2 linked regions of the Saccharomyces cerevisiae S288C genome follow. The protein of the gene in region 1 purifies or fractionates together with the protein of each later gene. This does not show direct contact. Each region holds a gene or a part of one and is shown on either strand. Other genes may lie near its edges.

Region 1 (12,860 bases):
AGGTTCGGATTCAACGAAACATATGATATTGTAATCAACTCACTGGACCACATGAGACACCCATGGCATATGCATGGCCATCACTTCCAGATAATATCTCTTGGCAATAAAGGTGATGGCCCATTTCACAAAGACGTACAAGAGGGCAAGGCATGGAGCCGCTATCAGAACGATTTACGTCACCTGGCCCGAACCGGAAAGGCACCGATGGTAAGGGATAGCATTAACATTGCAGGAAATTCTTACGCGGTTTTGAGAATTAACACCGAGATGCCCGGAAAATGGCTTTTACATTGTCATGTGGAGTGGCACATGATGAAGGGGCTTGGCATTGTCTTTGAGGTTCCGACAACAACCGAGGACAGTACCAAACAAGCAACTACAGCTGTATTATCGTACCCTACCAAGGAACCTGACCCTAACACTGTTGTCCATACAGCCGCACTTGAACAAAATAAGTCCAAGGTAATAGCCGTCTACATCCTAATCATGTGTGCGGTTGATGCTATCTTCTACTGGTTGCTCATGTAATCACATCCATTTCTCCCAACTCATTGCTTTTTTTCGCTTTTCCCACAGCCGTTTACAAGGCCGCAAAAAAGAAAACCCGCAAAGCTGACGGAAAAAGTATCGGCTAGCTTTCCATTGGCGACAATCGCCTCCGAGTGCGAAAACCTGTATTTCTCTGACTGCCGTAGGTCATATAGGATTGGGTCATAACGGTTTTTTGGAGACGAATCCTTCCCCTAATCGTGTTGGATAACATTACGGATCCGTGTTTTAGCTAAAGGAACAAAACAAAAATAAATAAAGGATAAGAAGAAGGATTCACTGATAATTAAGAGCTGTATTTTTCATTGGTTCGGCAGTTAGAAACAGAGATAGCATCAGTTCGAGTGTTCTTTGATATAGTAAACAGCGTATATAGAAAAGAATAAAGTGTATTGAAAGGCTCAAGAGAATTATAGAGAAAAAAACGAAGGATAAATCAAAAAAAGCGGTGTCTGATACAGTGCTCAATAGAAATACAGTTGCAAAATGGACCTCCCAACTGTTAATAGCACAACAAGCATTTCCGACAATGTGGATTTAAAGAACTACTATGAGGACTTGCTTTTCAAGAATAACAGCGGAAAATCGCTATCCGATTTACCCCGTAAACTGAATGATAACTCCAATAATTCAGGAAGTGATACGGTTGATCCGCTTGCTGGCCTGAATAATTTGAGAAACTCAATAAAAAGTGCGGGAAATGGTATGGAAAACAGGAGGACTTTTGACGATATTGATTTTATGGGTAGGTTTCCGTATTTGCCACCAGTGCCAAATCAACAACAGCAACCGTTTTCTCACCAGAACGGGTTCATTCAAGAACACCCTTCCAGTAATTTGACCTCTTTTCAAATGTCTTCGTCTAATTCAGAGCCGATGTCCGCACCGCCCATTTCATCCAATAACAATAATTTAAACTCTACTCAAATGGGTAATTATCAAGCTCAACAACGGTCGTTCCCGCAATTTAATGGAAATTCATTTCATTCAAATGGAAACGACCTAATGGGGAATCGGATGGATTCAGACTACATGCGTTTAATGAATAAAACAAACATAGGTTTTACTTCCAATAGCGGCAGCAATTTTGCTGCCCCATCACACAGTGCTGGCAACCCATCTAGTATGAACAACCAACAAGTACCATCATTTAATTGGCAACAGCCATCTCATCCAGAGTCTACCATTAGGAGATCCTCCTACATATCAGATACTCTAATCAACCATCAAATGCCTGACGCTCGGCAAAAGCAAACATCCCAAGTGCAGCAGCAACACGCTCAAGGTTTCAATCTTTTCAATAGCAGATTCAACTATGACAACTTGAACTCAACCCATTTGACCGCCAAAGGTGTGCCCGAGTTTGGAAATGGTGTACAACCTCCGTATCCTTATGATAACGAGCCTAATAATGCCAGTATCAGCAATAGTAATAACAACAACAACAGTCACAATATGGTTCCAATGCAACAGTTTCGCCGGAATACACAACCGGTAGCGAGCTTCAATCCATCCCTTCCTACTTTTCAACAACAACAGCAACAACCACAACAACCACAACAACCAAGAAACGTTAATGTACCTACTTCTTTCAATGGCGAACGTGTTGATGATGTTCAGCTTGTTCAACTTCAAAGAAGCAGTTCTGTCCCTTCTTCTACAAACTCACATAACCTTCAGAACGAGAACAGCAATGAAGGAAATGTATCTTTGGACAATGGTTTAGTTTTAATTCAGGGTAAACACTTGACTTCGTCCAAAACCTTACACGATTTATACAGCGACTGTGGCAGCGGCTATTTTGCTAGCTCTGCAGTTTTTGAATTCACAGATAATATTAAGAAAATGCTGAAGTTGCACGATTCTAATGAAAGTTACGACGCGAAGAACATGGGCTTAATCGATGAAGAAGGTAATACATACCAATCTTTATTAAATTTCTTGGACATTTTAAGAAGTTGCAACATGAATTACGTTAATGATCCAGAGTCGAATAATGGAATTGTTTCCAATAATGGAGGCAATAAAAATAGGAGGAAGGGCTCTTTCACAACAGAACTATCATGCAGGAATGCTAATAACTCCTTTTTACCTTATACACCATTGGTACTGGTTGCTTTGAAAAATGGGAAACTTGAACTACTATCTACTCCACAAGCTACCAATTTGTTGTTAAAGAGAGGTGACTTGGTTATTATTGATGGTGACCGTGGAAGGGATTTAGTATTGGTTGTTGAGCCCTCTGTCGATTTGAATTTAGCATTATTTATAAATTTTCTGAAAAAGAAAATTCACTTTGACTCTTTAATTACAAGTGAGTCACAGCACTATCGCAATGATGAGTTTATTCAAATGTTGATTGACTCAAAAAATGGGCAAAAGAAAAAATTAAATCCCAAATTGTATGATGTTGTTGAATTAACTGAGTTAATCATACCATCTAAACAAGTCTTACGTTTTGCCACCCCGTGGGAGGTAACAACGAATTTGCACAATAAATTTGAAGATGAATTAAAAGCCTTGCATATTGCTCAGAGTAAATTACAAGCGTTAAATGATAATTCAAAATCTCAAAATACAAATGACAGTTCTTCCAATAATTTTACGAATGCTGCAACTTATTCAAAGCCTAAATTGAATATCAAGATTTTAAACGCAGAATTCCAATTTGATAGAAAGAAATTAACGTTTTACTACGTTTGTGAGGAGAGAAATGATTTTAGAGACTTGATAAAAGAGCTGTTCAAATATTACAAGACAAGAATTTGGTTGTGTGCCATCCCGAATAATCTGTCTATTGATTCTAAGTATTATGATAAACAACAAAAAGAGCTGAAATTATATCAAAACATAGTAAAAAATTACAATGCTGAAGATTTAATGAATGTCAATGAGTTTTCGCAGAACAGGGGGAATAACAGAGTTAATTTTGCACCTCCGTTGAACGAAATTGAACTCGACAACTTTCAGATTGCTGTGTATGAAGAATTAGTTCACGAATTATTTCATTAAATGATCTGTTATTTCCTTGTTGTAACTATAAATTTTCTAAAAGAAAAGACAACCATTTGCCATTATTTTGTTAACATTTTTTCATTGTTTTTGTTTTTGTTTGTTTTTGTTTTTGTTTTTATTTTTGTCTACTTTTTTTATGTTATTTTGTTTTATCGTTTCTGTTCGTTGTTTACCTATTTTCCTGCCAATTCAATTTGGTACTATCTTTCTATTATCAATATTTTCTTTCCCTTATGTTTTTTTCTATATGAAAACTTCACAGGGAGAAATAGAAGAAAATGTTCATTATTCTGTTTAACTTTGATAAAAATTACTTATACGTCTCCCAATCATGGTTTCATGGTCACTGGTAAGGAAAAATTCGAAAAACTACGGGACTAAAAATTTTTTAAAGATTGTCCATATTCCTCGATCCACACTTTCAAGTTTGAGATTTATTGTTGGCAACTTTCTTACATTTTTGTTGTTTCAACTTCTATTTTATATTCTAACAGCCGCTTCCATTTATTTTTCATAGGCTTTATATAAAAAACAAAAAATAATGGAATCAACCAACCCTTATAAACTTATATGTAGTTTACATTTAATCAAGGTCTGTTATCGTGGCTATTGCTCTAATTCATTATTTGTCGACATGTATTGGTTGATAATTTTTGTTTTGGTTCACGCGTAAGAATTTTTTTTCTTGTAGTTGCCACGTGAAACCTGACAACTTATAGTCTTTAAGGGAAGAAAGAAAGCCATTCTTTGAAGTGATTTTACTGCTTTCAAGAGTGAGAAACTCCTACATCAACGCCTAAGGAAACTCGTCATATTCTACCAAGGATGATCTCTGTCATGGCGGATGAGAAACATAAGGAGTATTTTAAGCTATACTACTTTCAGTACATGATAATTGGTCTATGTACGATATTATTCCTCTATTCGGAGATATCCCTGGTACCTAGGGGCCAAAACATCGAATTTAGTCTTGATGACCCCAGTATATCAAAACGTTATGTACCTAACGAACTCGTGGGCCCACTAGAATGTTTGATTTTGAGTGTTGGACTGAGTAACATGGTCGTCTTCTGGACCTGCATGTTTGACAAGGACTTACTGAAGAAGAATAGAGTAAAGAGACTAAGAGAGAGGCCGGACGGAATCTCGAACGATTTTCACTTCATGCATACTAGCATTCTATGTCTGATGCTGATTATAAGCATAAATGCTGCCCTAACAGGCGCCTTAAAGTTGATTATAGGAAACTTGAGGCCTGACTTTGTTGATAGATGTATACCTGACCTCCAAAAGATGAGTGATTCAGATTCTTTGGTTTTTGGCTTGGACATTTGCAAGCAGACTAACAAATGGATTCTATACGAAGGCTTAAAAAGCACTCCAAGCGGACATTCAAGTTTCATAGTCAGTACCATGGGCTTTACATATCTTTGGCAAAGGGTTTTCACCACACGCAATACAAGAAGTTGCATTTGGTGCCCTTTATTAGCTCTAGTAGTAATGGTTTCAAGGGTTATCGATCACAGACATCATTGGTACGATGTTGTCTCTGGAGCTGTTCTAGCATTTTTAGTCATTTATTGTTGCTGGAAATGGACATTTACAAACTTGGCGAAAAGAGACATACTTCCTTCACCGGTTAGTGTTTAGTAACACTTACAGAGTCCTATCAGGAAAGAATAAAAGCCGATCAAGCTTCATTCTCAGGTAACAACTGGAGCACTGGCGAGCTTTGCTCTATTATATAAGATAAAATATGCACTAAAAGTTTGCATTTCTTTACATAACTAAAACTAAGACATTATGCATAGCTTACCTGATCAAAAAGTATGTAAACTTGTTAACATCTTCACATGTGATTCATCTGGTCGTACTTTCTTGCGGTGCAGTGTAATATTTCTACCCACGTGACTATAATTGAGCTTGAAAACTGTGGCGTTTTTCCACCGATGGGTCCACGCCAGATATTAACCGAAGCCAAAATACCGATGAAATTTCTGAGATAGCTCTTGTAAACGACGTCAAATCTTCATATGCAAGGAGATCTTGATTTCTTTTTGGTAGTCATCTGTCGTCTTGAGGCGTATAAGAAGGAGGTTATATCTGTCCTTTCTACAAAGTATTTTCGAGAATCTTGCTTCTGCCCCTTTTTTCTTTTTTTAAAAGGTTTAAAAAACATAACTGTCTTCAATATATCCAGTATTTACGACAATATACAAACATAATCATGTCCAAGAGCAAAACTTTCTTATTTACCTCTGAATCCGTCGGTGAAGGTCACCCAGACAAGATTTGTGACCAAGTTTCTGATGCTATTTTGGACGCTTGTTTAGAACAAGATCCATTCTCCAAGGTTGCCTGTGAAACAGCTGCCAAAACTGGTATGATTATGGTTTTCGGTGAAATTACCACCAAAGCTAGACTTGACTACCAACAAATAGTAAGAGATACCATCAAGAAGATTGGTTATGACGATTCTGCCAAGGGTTTCGACTACAAGACATGTAATGTTTTAGTAGCTATCGAACAACAATCTCCAGATATCGCTCAAGGTCTGCACTATGAAAAGAGCTTAGAAGACTTAGGTGCTGGTGACCAAGGTATAATGTTTGGTTACGCTACAGACGAAACTCCAGAAGGGTTACCATTGACCATTCTTTTGGCTCACAAATTGAACATGGCTATGGCAGATGCTAGAAGAGATGGTTCTCTCCCATGGTTGAGACCAGACACAAAGACTCAAGTCACTGTCGAATACGAAGACGACAATGGTAGATGGGTTCCAAAGAGGATAGATACCGTTGTTATTTCTGCTCAACATGCTGATGAAATTTCCACCGCTGACTTGAGAACTCAACTTCAAAAAGATATTGTTGAAAAGGTCATACCAAAGGATATGTTAGACGAAAATACCAAATATTTCATCCAACCATCCGGTAGATTCGTCATCGGTGGTCCTCAAGGTGACGCTGGTTTGACCGGTAGAAAGATTATTGTCGACGCTTACGGTGGTGCCTCATCCGTCGGTGGTGGTGCCTTCTCCGGTAAGGACTATTCCAAGGTCGATCGTTCCGCTGCTTACGCTGCTAGATGGGTTGCCAAGTCTCTAGTTGCCGCTGGTTTGTGTAAGAGAGTCCAAGTCCAATTTTCATATGCTATTGGTATTGCTGAACCATTGTCTTTACATGTGGACACCTATGGTACAGCTACAAAATCAGATGACGAAATCATTGAAATTATTAAGAAGAACTTCGACTTGAGACCAGGTGTGTTAGTAAAGGAATTAGATTTGGCTAGACCAATTTACTTACCAACCGCTTCTTATGGTCACTTCACTAATCAAGAGTACTCATGGGAAAAACCAAAGAAATTGGAATTTTAAACATTTAGACAATAAATGTTTTATTTTGATTTTTATAATTATTTCAATCCCTTTCTTTATGCTAGGCTGGTCCCGATCACCTCCCTATATTGAGAAGACGATGCCTTATCGTTTGATTCGCTCAACTCGAGTCATGTAATTACTAGAAAATGATACAATAGAAAAGTTTTAAACATTCTTAAACTTGACAAACACCAATAGAATAACATCTAGGCATAATGATCTATTTTGTATGGATTATGTATTAGCTCCTTCAACGGAAATATATAGAAAATATTACTTTATGTTTTTAGAACTTTTTGACGAGTTTTACCAGTTTTTTTCATGATGCTCCACGTGGTAATATGACTATGCTATGGAAATAAGGTTGAAATATAGAATGTCTTTGAGGTTATTTGGTCGGCCTCTTCCAGAAATACTGTTTATGTTTCTTCCTGCACGACCTTAATCGGCTCCTGCCTTTTAACGAATTATACAAAATCTTTCTCTCGTCGCTATCATCGTTTTCAACATCATAGTAATACTCGTCTTCTAATGGCTTGCCAGACGCATCTTTTCCTTCACGCACAATAATACCAATGCAAGAAATAGTCTCCAAGACCTTTTTTAGTTCATCTTTGCTTAATTGTGAAGTGTTGGAATTGATGTTTTGCAATTGGGATAAAGGCGTTTGTTGAAGGTTAGAAAATGCAAGATGATTACATAGCACATGAACTAGGTCATCAAACCGAATTCCTCTTTCTGAGAGCGACCGAGAAATTTCGGGAATAATATTCAATGAAGTCTTAAGACGTTTTTGTGCAGGAGATACAATCGCGGTTGTAGAAGACAGCTCTTTAGTTTTTTTTGCAACTGCTGCGAAAGATTCTTCTTCATTAATGCCACCACTCCTAGTACTGGCACTTAATGTCCCAATTATTTTATCTTTAGGAAGTGGTGTCTCTTGTATAGTGTTATTTTTCAATGAAATTGATTTACGCTTCAGTTTCTTTGGAGTTGATGGCTGATTAATAACGAAAGATGTTTGGGGTGTTGTTCTATAACTAATGGGGGAGTTTTTCACAAGAGCAGGAGATGCAATAAGTAATGGTTTTGAGATCTGTTCTGTACGAGGTGAATGCTCAACTGGGACAAATTTCATCGAAGGTGTTTCTTTTTGCCAAGAAAAATCATCGCTCGTTGTTGTTAATAAACACAACTCATCCTCCGTTTCTGTCGAGTTCTCTTCGTCAAAGTTATTGTTGCCATCGCCAGGATAAGGTGCTACTTTTTTCAATGAAAGACAGACTGTGACGCCTGTAAAATTTATGAAACTTCCTTGGATATAGGGGAAAGTAACAGTTTCACCTTTAGCCAAAACAAAGCTGATGAAGTTTTGGTTCTTTTGAAGAGTTTTTCCATGCGATTGTTTAGTATTTTGCGAGGTCAAAGGCTCTTCTGCCACTAGTTTATAAAAGTTCCTTGTTGGGAAGGGTTTTACCAAATGCAACTGCATGGAGTAAGGCAAGTGAACGGACAACCCATTAGTTCCATTACATTCCAATTTTATTTCATTTCTGTCGGCGGCGTATGAAATAAAAGCGTGCTGCCTAGAGATATTCTTTCTGCATGGCAAAATAATGTTGCAGACTGATTTTTTCCTACCGATGGCTAAACGTGAGGGATCCGATGCATCTAATTCAATCTCGATAGGGCCTGCAAGCACCTTTTCTTGCTTTGAAGGAGATGACAAGGCAGATTTGGTCTCATTTAAACGTGAAGTGATATCTTTCACTGGTGAAGATTGTCTTCCGATGCTAGACGACGGGTCTGGAGTAGGATACTCTTCCAATTCGTAATTATACCGTTTTCTTCCTAAGGTCAATACAGAAGTATTAGCAAGCTTACCAGGTTCTTTTTGTGGGCTTTCCAAAGGTTTACCAGCAACTGGTGATGATGGTGGGAAGAGATGGGACATAACCAAAATTGTGACGATTTTGTCGTGAAACTTCTAGCGAAAAGACTAATGAAATCGGCAAATATTGTGTAAATAGTATACCAAAAAAAAAAACGCTTCTATATATTGTTCCCCGTTGCTAGTAACGATAGAAACGGCAAATAAGGAGAGAAATTAAACTTTCTTGGGAGAGGCAGAAGTGTTTACTTATTCTTCTGAAACAAAAACAAACGCGAAAAAAAAATTATCGCGTTTGGATTATCATTATTTAGACATTAACACCTGTACATATTTGTATTTTAAAAGCCGAACATTTTTGGGTTCTATATCAGTTTTTTTTTTCTTCAAGCACTCCGTACACCACTAATATTATCACTGAGAATCTTCCTGCCACTTGCGGGAAGGATGAGATTGGAAACATGGCTGGAATAGTAAGCATAGGTTACTATAGAAAGCGGTAACAAAAAGCACTACTATGTGTAGATAAAGAACAAAGAGGTAAACGAATATATAAGTAAAGATGGGTAGTATGTACAGGAATTATTAATTGATGAGTCAACGTTCAATCACATCCGGTCTGATTTAGAGGATTACATGAGAAAGAAGCACTGAAAAAATTTTCCACCAGGAGAGGCCAGGTAAACTAAGACCTACGTTATTCACTATGCCAAAAGATTTAAAAATATAGAATGATGAATGTTGCCAGAGCCATTGATGATAAGAAATTGCACATAACGGATGCATAAAGAGCGAATAAAAAGATTTGAGTGTCAATACAAAAAGGTGAGAAGAAATAGTGTAAGACAGCAACACACATCTAGACCGCCAATGAAGTTGTTCTGAATCCAGCAGTAGAGTTTATTTAGTTCAAAGTTTTACTAACGATAATTAACTTTTATGTTTTCATTTTAAACAGAGGGTACTCCTTCATTCGGTAAGCGTCACAACAAATCTCACACCTTGTGTAACAGATGTGGTCGTCGTTCTTTCCATGTTCAAAAGAAGACCTGTTCCTCTTGTGGTTACCCATCCGCTAAGACTAGATCTCACAACTGGGCTGCCAAGGCAAAGAGAAGACACACTACTGGTACCGGTAGAATGAGATATTTGAAGCATGTCTCCAGAAGATTTAAGAACGGTTTCCAAACCGGTTCTGCTAAGGCTACTTCTGCTTAAATTTGATATTATCTATAAGTTTTGTTCTTTCCTAAAACGAAAATAATATAAATTATATATAGTTAATATTAAGCATTACAAGGTTTCTATAAAGCGTTGACATTTTCCCCTTTTGATTGTTGCCTTACAGTCCCATTGAGATATATAATGAATCGGCCTCCTCTAGTGTGGTTAGATCGAATGATTTTGACTCAAGAATAGTTCTTGCCATTTCTTGAAATTTCTCATCGTACTTTACTTGCATTATTCTCCCCGTTCTTTTATTCAATTGCATCTTCAATTCTTCTTCGATATATTCTGGTAAATCCTCAAAGGCATCTTCGTAATAAGAGGCTTGATCCTTTATCGTCAGATCATGCAAACTATCTACAAGGTGTCGATGATCTCTCATTTCTCTTTCGTTTGCTGTCACAGTTTCGGTTTGGCATACGAGAAACCTCCATAGTGACATAATCAATTGGCTTTCTACCTGCTTGATTTGTTCTTCACGCAATTGTTTGAAATGGTCTTTCCATAGCCTATATATTATGGTTAAAGTATGTTCAATAAGATGGCATCTGAGGTCCAAGTTCGGGGAGTCTTGTCCCACGTACCTTTCTATCATTAACGCTTGCTCCCTGGATAAGAATTTAGAGGAGTGGATGAGCATTTCTCCATTTACTATGGTCGCATCGTCTCCATAGATCATTAATAAATTTTCAAAAATATTTAAAACTTCATCTTTTAACTTCAAAAGCCATTTTTCCATCTTGTAACCTATTATAGGGGCAGTGAATTTGTCGCTATCCATCCCAATATCCTCTTTAGAAATTACCCTTGGGACACTTTGCAATCGGTCAGTATAAATCAGCTTTGATATCAATCCTCCCAATTCATTATCACCTATATTTCGGATTAACCCAAAAAAGTCATGGTACTTCGACATATGAAGAGTTGTAGTATCCACATTTTCATTATATACGTCGCCACTCTTAATTTCCTTTTCCAAAAGAGCGTATAATCTTGTAATACAATCTCTCCACCAACTACCGCTTATCAAGGATTTCAGATCTGAGGAATTGTCCATATTTAATATTATACTAGTGATAATATTAACGACCTCGACTGCACTAAATATTACATTTACCATTGGCTTGTATGAAATGGTTAGTGCTAGTTTGTAGACAAATTCAAATGATTTTAGAATATTTTCATCAAAAAATTCCATATAAGTTTGCTTAGGATGCGACTGCAGTACCCTTAATATACCTTCTAGGAGATCAAAGGAATACGAAATTATCAAATAGTCTATCAGTTCATATTGGAAAATCTGAGGTTCTACATGCAAATTCATATTTGATTCATGTATCGGTACTTTCAATACATGATGATAGATTCTTATTAAATCGCAAATAAAAAGAAAACAATCCTTCAGTGCTAAATTATGAGTGGCACTAGGACGAAATTGTACAATCTGATACATCAATGCAACGAGAAATGGGACAGCTAATTTCGATTCATTTGGATGAACTGATATTTCCTTGATCAAAACAGCTATATCCTCTAGCAAAGTATCTATGAACCTGTCGAGGGTCAACGTCTTTTTACATCGCAAAAGTAGAGAAACTATGGACTTCCCTATGGGGGCTCCTTTAGCAATGACGAAATTCTTAAATTTAAACTCTGTGATGTAGTCAAGCTTCAATCTATTTAATATTTCTATTGTGCTCAGGTCAGCGCCTATTATTTGATGAAGTAATATTGACTCTAGAAATAAACTCGTTTCATCGGGAATAATCCTATTTGGGTTTAGGGGAACCATATTTTTTTTCAGTAAATTATCACTTATCTTACGTTTTTTTGATTGTGGTGATTGAGGTTTTGCTTCGATTGCAACTGAGGACGAATCTGGCGTTATAGTGTTTGTGTTTGTTGATAATGTTGTTGACGGTGGTTTTACATTCGTAATAACTTCCCTTTTCGATTTTCCTCTCGCTTCCATCTGTAAGAACTTCTTCTCATCTTCCAGTTTCTGTAATTCTTGTTTTAATTTAGCCAACTCTTGAAGATGCTTGACTTGCAATTCATTAACTTTGACGGCTTGAATATTCTTTTCCTTTTCCCTTTCAATGTTCAAAAAGTTTATTTTATCACGAAGCATGCTTGCTTCACCTTGAGCTTTATTCAGTTGGTTAACCAGTTGGTTATCATTTTTACTCTGTTTATTGTTTAATGTGGTCGTTGTAACCTCCAAAGTAGTGGGAATTTGTGTTTGTAATGCTGCTGATGATGGCGGTATTTGAGTAAACCTTGGAGGCCTGGTGCCTAATTCCAAAAGAATATCATCATCGTCATCTGAAGAAAATTCACCCACCGTTTCTCGTCTCATCTATAATAGAAATATGCAAAAGAGTTTGATGATTGTGTTGACGTTTCGTGCACTATCGCGTATTTGTTTGCTTTTTATTTTATTGCATGTGCTGTTTTCCCCAAAAAATCGATGGAACGCTCGGATTTGGCTAGAGGCGGGAAAAATCACCAATAATCGAAGAAAATAGAAGAACCAAGATACTAATAGCTCTTTGTAAGATAAATTTTGGAGTTACTACAGGTTACTATCCTTATTCAGAGACTTTTTACTGCTTTGCTCCTAATATTTAGTAGGAAAGAGCGAGCCTGTCTGACTCTTTTTTTTTTAAAAAAATTCAAGGTAAAACCTAACTAAACATAAAATTTCCACTCGAGTTATTCCGCTTAAAAGTGCTTAACATCGGTGCCACACAATACGAACCTTAGTAGAGAACCGACCGTTACCTCTTT
Region 2 (5,614 bases), on another chromosome or scaffold:
CTTTGCTATTTAAGGCACCTAAAATGTATAAATTTTCCAAAGACTTCCGTAATGTGGGGATACTGGGCTTATCCATCAGGGGAAACTTTATTAGGTCAGTAACGCCAAGCGATAATAATAATAACACCGTATTAGAAAGATTTGTTCTTGTGATCTCAGGCTTAGGCATAAGTTCCAACTCGTGCAAATATGACCATTTGGTAAAAATTCTAAAACATTTTCCCGGCCCAACACGACCAGCCCTACCGGCACGCTGATCAACTGAAGCTCTTGAGCATGGAACTGTTAAAAGTTGGGTCATTCCAGTGGAGGGTACGTACGAATTTTCCTTAACAAATCCAGGATCAATGACATATCTAATACCATCAATGGTCAATGAAGTTTCCGCAATATTAGTTGCCAAAACAACTTTCCTACAATTTTCCGGAGTCGGCTGGAAAATTTTCAATTGCTGCTCTTGGGGTAAATTTGCGTATATAGGAGTTATAATCATTTGTTTTGTTCTAGAACCTAATTTAGACATGATCTCCTCCAGTTTGGTTTTTGTTCTTTCAATTTCTTCTTGCCCCGTTAAAAACACCAATATATCCCCCGGTAAACTTTGCGTAGTATGAATTTGAAAAATAGTTGTTATAGCGGCATGTATATAGTTTGCCTCCGGCTGTAATGTGTAGTGGATATCTACAGGATATCTTCTCCCAGGAACGTTGAAAATGGGACAATTATCAAAAAACTCTGAAAATTTTTTTGCGTTCATTGTTGCTGATGATATAAGCAATTTTAAAGTGGGCCTCTGCGGCAAAATATCTTTCAGCAAACCTATCAGGATATCTGTGGCTAGAGTACGTTCATGAGCTTCATCAATCATAATACAAGAATATTTGCTTAATTTGGAATCTGTAAGAAATTCTCTTAGTAACATACCATCCGTCATATACTTTAGAACCGTTTTATTTGGGGTTGTTTTGTCTTCAAAACGGATCTGATAACCCACTTCCTTCCCAAGCACAACATTCATTTCATCTGCTACTCTTGCAGCAACAGAAGTGGCCGCCACACGACGTGGTTGTGTTATGGCAATCTGTAACTTTCCCTGATCAGTGAATCCATCTTCTACCAAATATTGGGGTAACTGTGTGGTTTTACCAGAACCGGTTTCACCCATTATAATCAAAACTTGATTTTTTTTGATCTCTTGTAGTAGCTCATCCTTGTATTGATGTACAGGCAAAAGTTTTCTTGCCTCTTGTATAGTCAGTATACGCTTTTCCTCAGTTTCTAAAGCTTGTGCTAGACGTGCCTCATATTGAAGTTTCTCTTCAGGTAGTAAATCGTCCTCCTCATTAGTATAATCAATCATTGCATCTGTGTCGAACACATAATCGTACTTGTCAGAGCCTTCCAATGTTATATCATCAGGGTGATCGCTTTGCCCCGCCATAGCATTTCGCAATTGTTGTTCTTCCCACATGCGTTGTCTGTTTATTTTGTCAATTTCTTTTGCATTCTTTATTTTATGAGTAACTTCTACGTTAAATTTAGAATTAGAAGAGGCGTACTTAGTTTCATTCTCGGAGTCACCTAGTAGACCCTTCTTTGTAGTAAGTTCATTATTTGACGTTATTTTTTCATCATACTTTGATGACTTTTTTTGTGATCCAAGTTGTTCTCCTTTTAAATTGTTCTTTTCTGGACCTTGGTTCGTATTAGAAAAAACTTTATTGGGGTCATAGCGTGATCGTTTTAGCTGCAAGGCAGAGTTCTTATCCTTGGCCTCTTTGTCTTCTTCCTCACCCAAGGAAGAAGGCTCTATTCTTACTGCATTGTCATTCTGTCTTGTAACTTCATACGTTCGTTTCACTCTTCGCTTACCGGTTTCAGATGTAATACTTGACATGTGTTGCTATACACGCTTGTTATCTATATAGATGCCAATTAAACATATAGCAGCTATCCGTTATTACTTATACAATTGATTAATATCACTTTTTAATTGTCCGGGTAACTAACTGTCTTCCACTTTCAGCACGTTCTCGTCATCAGGTTGTATGGGCTAGTACTGTTTTGGCTACATTTGAGATACGAGCACTTAAAGAATTCTTGCATATTTTCGATGATTAGTCTTTAATTTTCCCACTTGTTCTCACTATTTCCTCTATTGTCTTAATACGCTCACATATCGAAGTTTTTTTTTCATGCGATGAGCTTCGAGATGAAAAAAGGAAACTGAAAAATTTAGATCGATAAGATAAGAGATGTGATTTTTTTTTTTTTTCGTAAGGCTGTAGGCCTTGGATAACGTCTTATTTACTATTTATATGCGACATCTTCGATAATTTCATACGTTTAATTTCGAACTCGCATTTATTTTATTTATTATGTCCCATCGTATAGCACCTTCCAAAGAACGATCTTCATCATTTATTTCAATTTTAGACGATGAAACAAGAGACACATTGAAAGCTAATGCAGTCATGGATGGTGAAGTAGATGTCAAAAAAACAAAAGGAAAAAGCTCTCGGTATATCCCACCATGGACAACTCCATATATAATAGGTATAGGTGGTGCTTCAGGTTCAGGCAAGACAAGCGTTGCTGCTAAGATTGTGTCGTCAATTAATGTTCCCTGGACAGTATTAATATCTTTGGATAACTTTTACAATCCATTAGGCCCAGAGGACAGAGCCAGAGCCTTTAAAAATGAATACGATTTCGACGAGCCAAATGCCATCAACTTAGATTTGGCATATAAGTGCATTTTGAACTTAAAGGAGGGCAAAAGGACAAATATCCCAGTTTATAGCTTCGTCCACCACAATAGAGTTCCTGATAAAAATATAGTCATATACGGGGCCAGTGTGGTAGTTATCGAAGGGATCTACGCCCTTTACGATCGCCGATTGCTGGATTTGATGGACTTGAAAATTTATGTTGACGCTGATTTGGATGTCTGCTTAGCAAGAAGATTGTCGAGAGATATAGTTTCCAGAGGGAGAGATTTGGATGGTTGTATTCAACAATGGGAGAAATTTGTGAAACCAAATGCGGTAAAGTTTGTGAAACCAACAATGAAGAATGCAGATGCTATCATTCCATCGATGAGTGATAATGCTACAGCGGTAAATTTAATCATTAACCACATCAAGTCAAAACTGGAACTAAAATCAAATGAACACTTAAGAGAGCTAATCAAATTGGGCTCTTCTCCTTCACAAGATGTGCTTAATCGTAACATAATTCATGAATTGCCGCCCACCAACCAAGTTCTTTCGCTGCATACTATGCTTCTAAATAAAAATCTAAATTGCGCGGACTTTGTTTTCTACTTTGACAGGTTAGCAACAATTTTGTTATCATGGGCACTTGATGACATTCCTGTAGCACATACGAACATAATTACACCTGGTGAGCATACCATGGAAAACGTTATTGCCTGTCAATTCGATCAAGTTACAGCTGTTAATATTATTCGATCTGGCGATTGTTTTATGAAGTCTTTGAGAAAGACGATCCCCAATATCACAATTGGTAAATTGTTGATTCAGTCCGATTCACAAACTGGGGAACCTCAACTGCATTGCGAATTTTTACCCCCAAATATAGAAAAGTTTGGCAAGGTTTTCTTAATGGAAGGTCAAATCATAAGTGGTGCGGCCATGATCATGGCCATCCAGGTGCTTTTAGATCATGGTATTGATTTGGAAAAGATTAGCGTGGTGGTTTATTTGGCCACTGAAGTTGGTATCCGACGTATATTAAATGCATTTGATAACAAAGTCAACATTTTTGCTGGTATGATCATCTCCAGAGAAAAGTTACAAAATCATCAATACAAATGGGCATTGACCAGATTTTTTGATTCAAAGTATTTTGGTTGTGATTGAGAATAATTAGAGGCAATATAAAGTAAAATTAAATAATAGTGCACGTATACATACTATATTAGTAACCTTTCATTCTCTCTATGGATAATCTTAAAATCCCATTACTTTCAATATGCCATAACCTACTGTAACAATAGCGGCATAACTTAACAAACTGGCTGGTACACCTCTCGTAATAAATGTACCCACGGTCAAATATCTATCACCAACTTCATCAATCATTGAAATGGCAGTCACGTTGGGGAAACCAGAGGTTGGAAGACCCATAGCACTAGAGCATAATAGGGCGGCTATAACGATCAATAGTCTAGAATGATCACCTGAAGGTAGATTGGAACCGATCTCACTCATTAATGGTACGATGATCATTGCCGCGACGGTATGGGAGACAAAAGTGGCCATTACAAGAATCACTAGACCGAAGATCAACACAATAATGAAGATTGGTTCATGCTCAACCTGCGCCTTAATTAACTGTGCCATTGTAGACAATAAACCGGATGAGCTTACCGCCTTACCTAGGGTGGTACCTCCCATGGCCAAAACAACGATTGTCCACATGAAATTATTGAAATCATCCGAAGTTAGAAGACCTGTACCGAAGAAGACTACTATAGGTATAATAGATATGATTCCCATTTCACCAAAGATACCGGAGATTTGGTTTGAAAGACACCAAAGAACAATTGTTATAATGCAAACTAAAGTGACAAACCATTGCTTCAGAGTGAATGGATCACGGGATGGATGCAATTGCAAAATTTTCACATTTGGCTCAGGAGGGAAGGTTATGATCAATAGCACCCAAATTGCCATGACACAAATAAAGCACACAGGTAGCGCAATCATAAACCATTCAGCCCAAGATGGTGAAGGGTCCATTATACCAATAGAAAAAATGTTTTGAGGAGAAGCGATGGGAGAAGACATACCACCGATATTGGAGGCAAGAGCGATACCAAGAATTAGAGCTTTGGCATAGGAACAATTTCTTGGCAGTGTTCTGAGCAAAGGTTGAACAATTGAATAGCAAAGAACGGGGGCAGCAACATTAGAAACCCACATGGAAACAAAGAGCGCCACAAACATATTTGTTAAAAGAATAAAATGTGGGTTTGTACCGGCGGATGCCAAAATATGCGTAGAAAGGACTTTGGCAATGTTGTACTTGGAAAGGGCGGCTGCTAAAGTAAACCCACCCAGCAAAAGCATGATGACACTCGACCACATCGTTGATAAGATGAACTGAGAGGAATCACGGGGAGACATTGGTTGGGAGGTGATAGGGTCCTTGATAACAGGGAACACTACAATAAGCAGAGGAATCATTAGAGAAGTCACGAAAAGGGGGATGGTCTCAGTGGCCCATAATAAAGATGCATATATTAAGATGGCGAAACAGTTTTTCTGTAAGGAATCCTGCGTAAAAGGAGTCAAATTAAAAGTTAATAATGCAATGAAACATGAGGTGATTAACAGAAACTTCAGCAGGGAAGTTTGGCCCATGATAAATTGCAACCATTGCTTGGGTGGTAAATGCATGAGTTCACGGAAAGTTAGGGAATCCGTTGATGGAGCGATGATACCGGCGCCACCACTCGACATTGCCATGGATTCAGTAATGTTGGCATTGGGGCGCAATTGACTGGAACTCAACTTTGAAAACTTCTTGTTGTCAGTCTTGGCAGATTGGTACTTTCTCTCCAAATTCATCATATCTTTCCAAACGG

The links.
Region 2: the proteins of SAM2 (region 1) and URK1 purify together in Saccharomyces cerevisiae (affinity purification with mass spectrometry, with the first as the bait; one large-scale study listed by BioGRID). This does not show direct contact.

What each region holds. Positions count from the first base shown.
Region 1 is NC_001136.10:1,447,399-1,460,258, reverse strand, and holds SAM2 (methionine adenosyltransferase SAM2), read left to right. Parts: upstream 1-5,794; coding exon 5,795-6,949; downstream 6,950-12,860. Other genes in the region: GMC1 (putative oxidoreductase), read left to right, coding at 1-531; PSP1 (Psp1p), read left to right, coding at 1,039-3,564; SPG3 (Spg3p), read left to right, coding at 3,565-3,948; phosphatidate phosphatase LPP1, read left to right, coding at 4,393-5,217; PLM2 (Plm2p), read right to left, coding at 7,341-8,906; 60S ribosomal protein eL37 RPL37B, read left to right, coding at 9,406-9,412, 9,802-10,061; LCD1 (Lcd1p), read right to left, coding at 10,186-12,429. UniProt on the Saccharomyces cerevisiae protein: Catalyzes the formation of S-adenosylmethionine from methionine and ATP. The reaction comprises two steps that are both catalyzed by the same enzyme: formation of S-adenosylmethionine (AdoMet) and triphosphate, and subsequent hydrolysis of the triphosphate.
Region 2 is NC_001146.8:645,054-650,667, forward strand, and holds URK1 (uridine kinase URK1), read left to right. Parts: upstream 1-2,378; coding exon 2,379-3,884; downstream 3,885-5,614. Other genes in the region: DEAH-box RNA-dependent ATPase PRP2, read right to left, coding at 1-1,897; PHO91 (Pho91p), read right to left, coding at 3,975-5,614. UniProt on the Saccharomyces cerevisiae protein: Catalyzes the conversion of uridine into UMP and cytidine into CMP in the pyrimidine salvage pathway.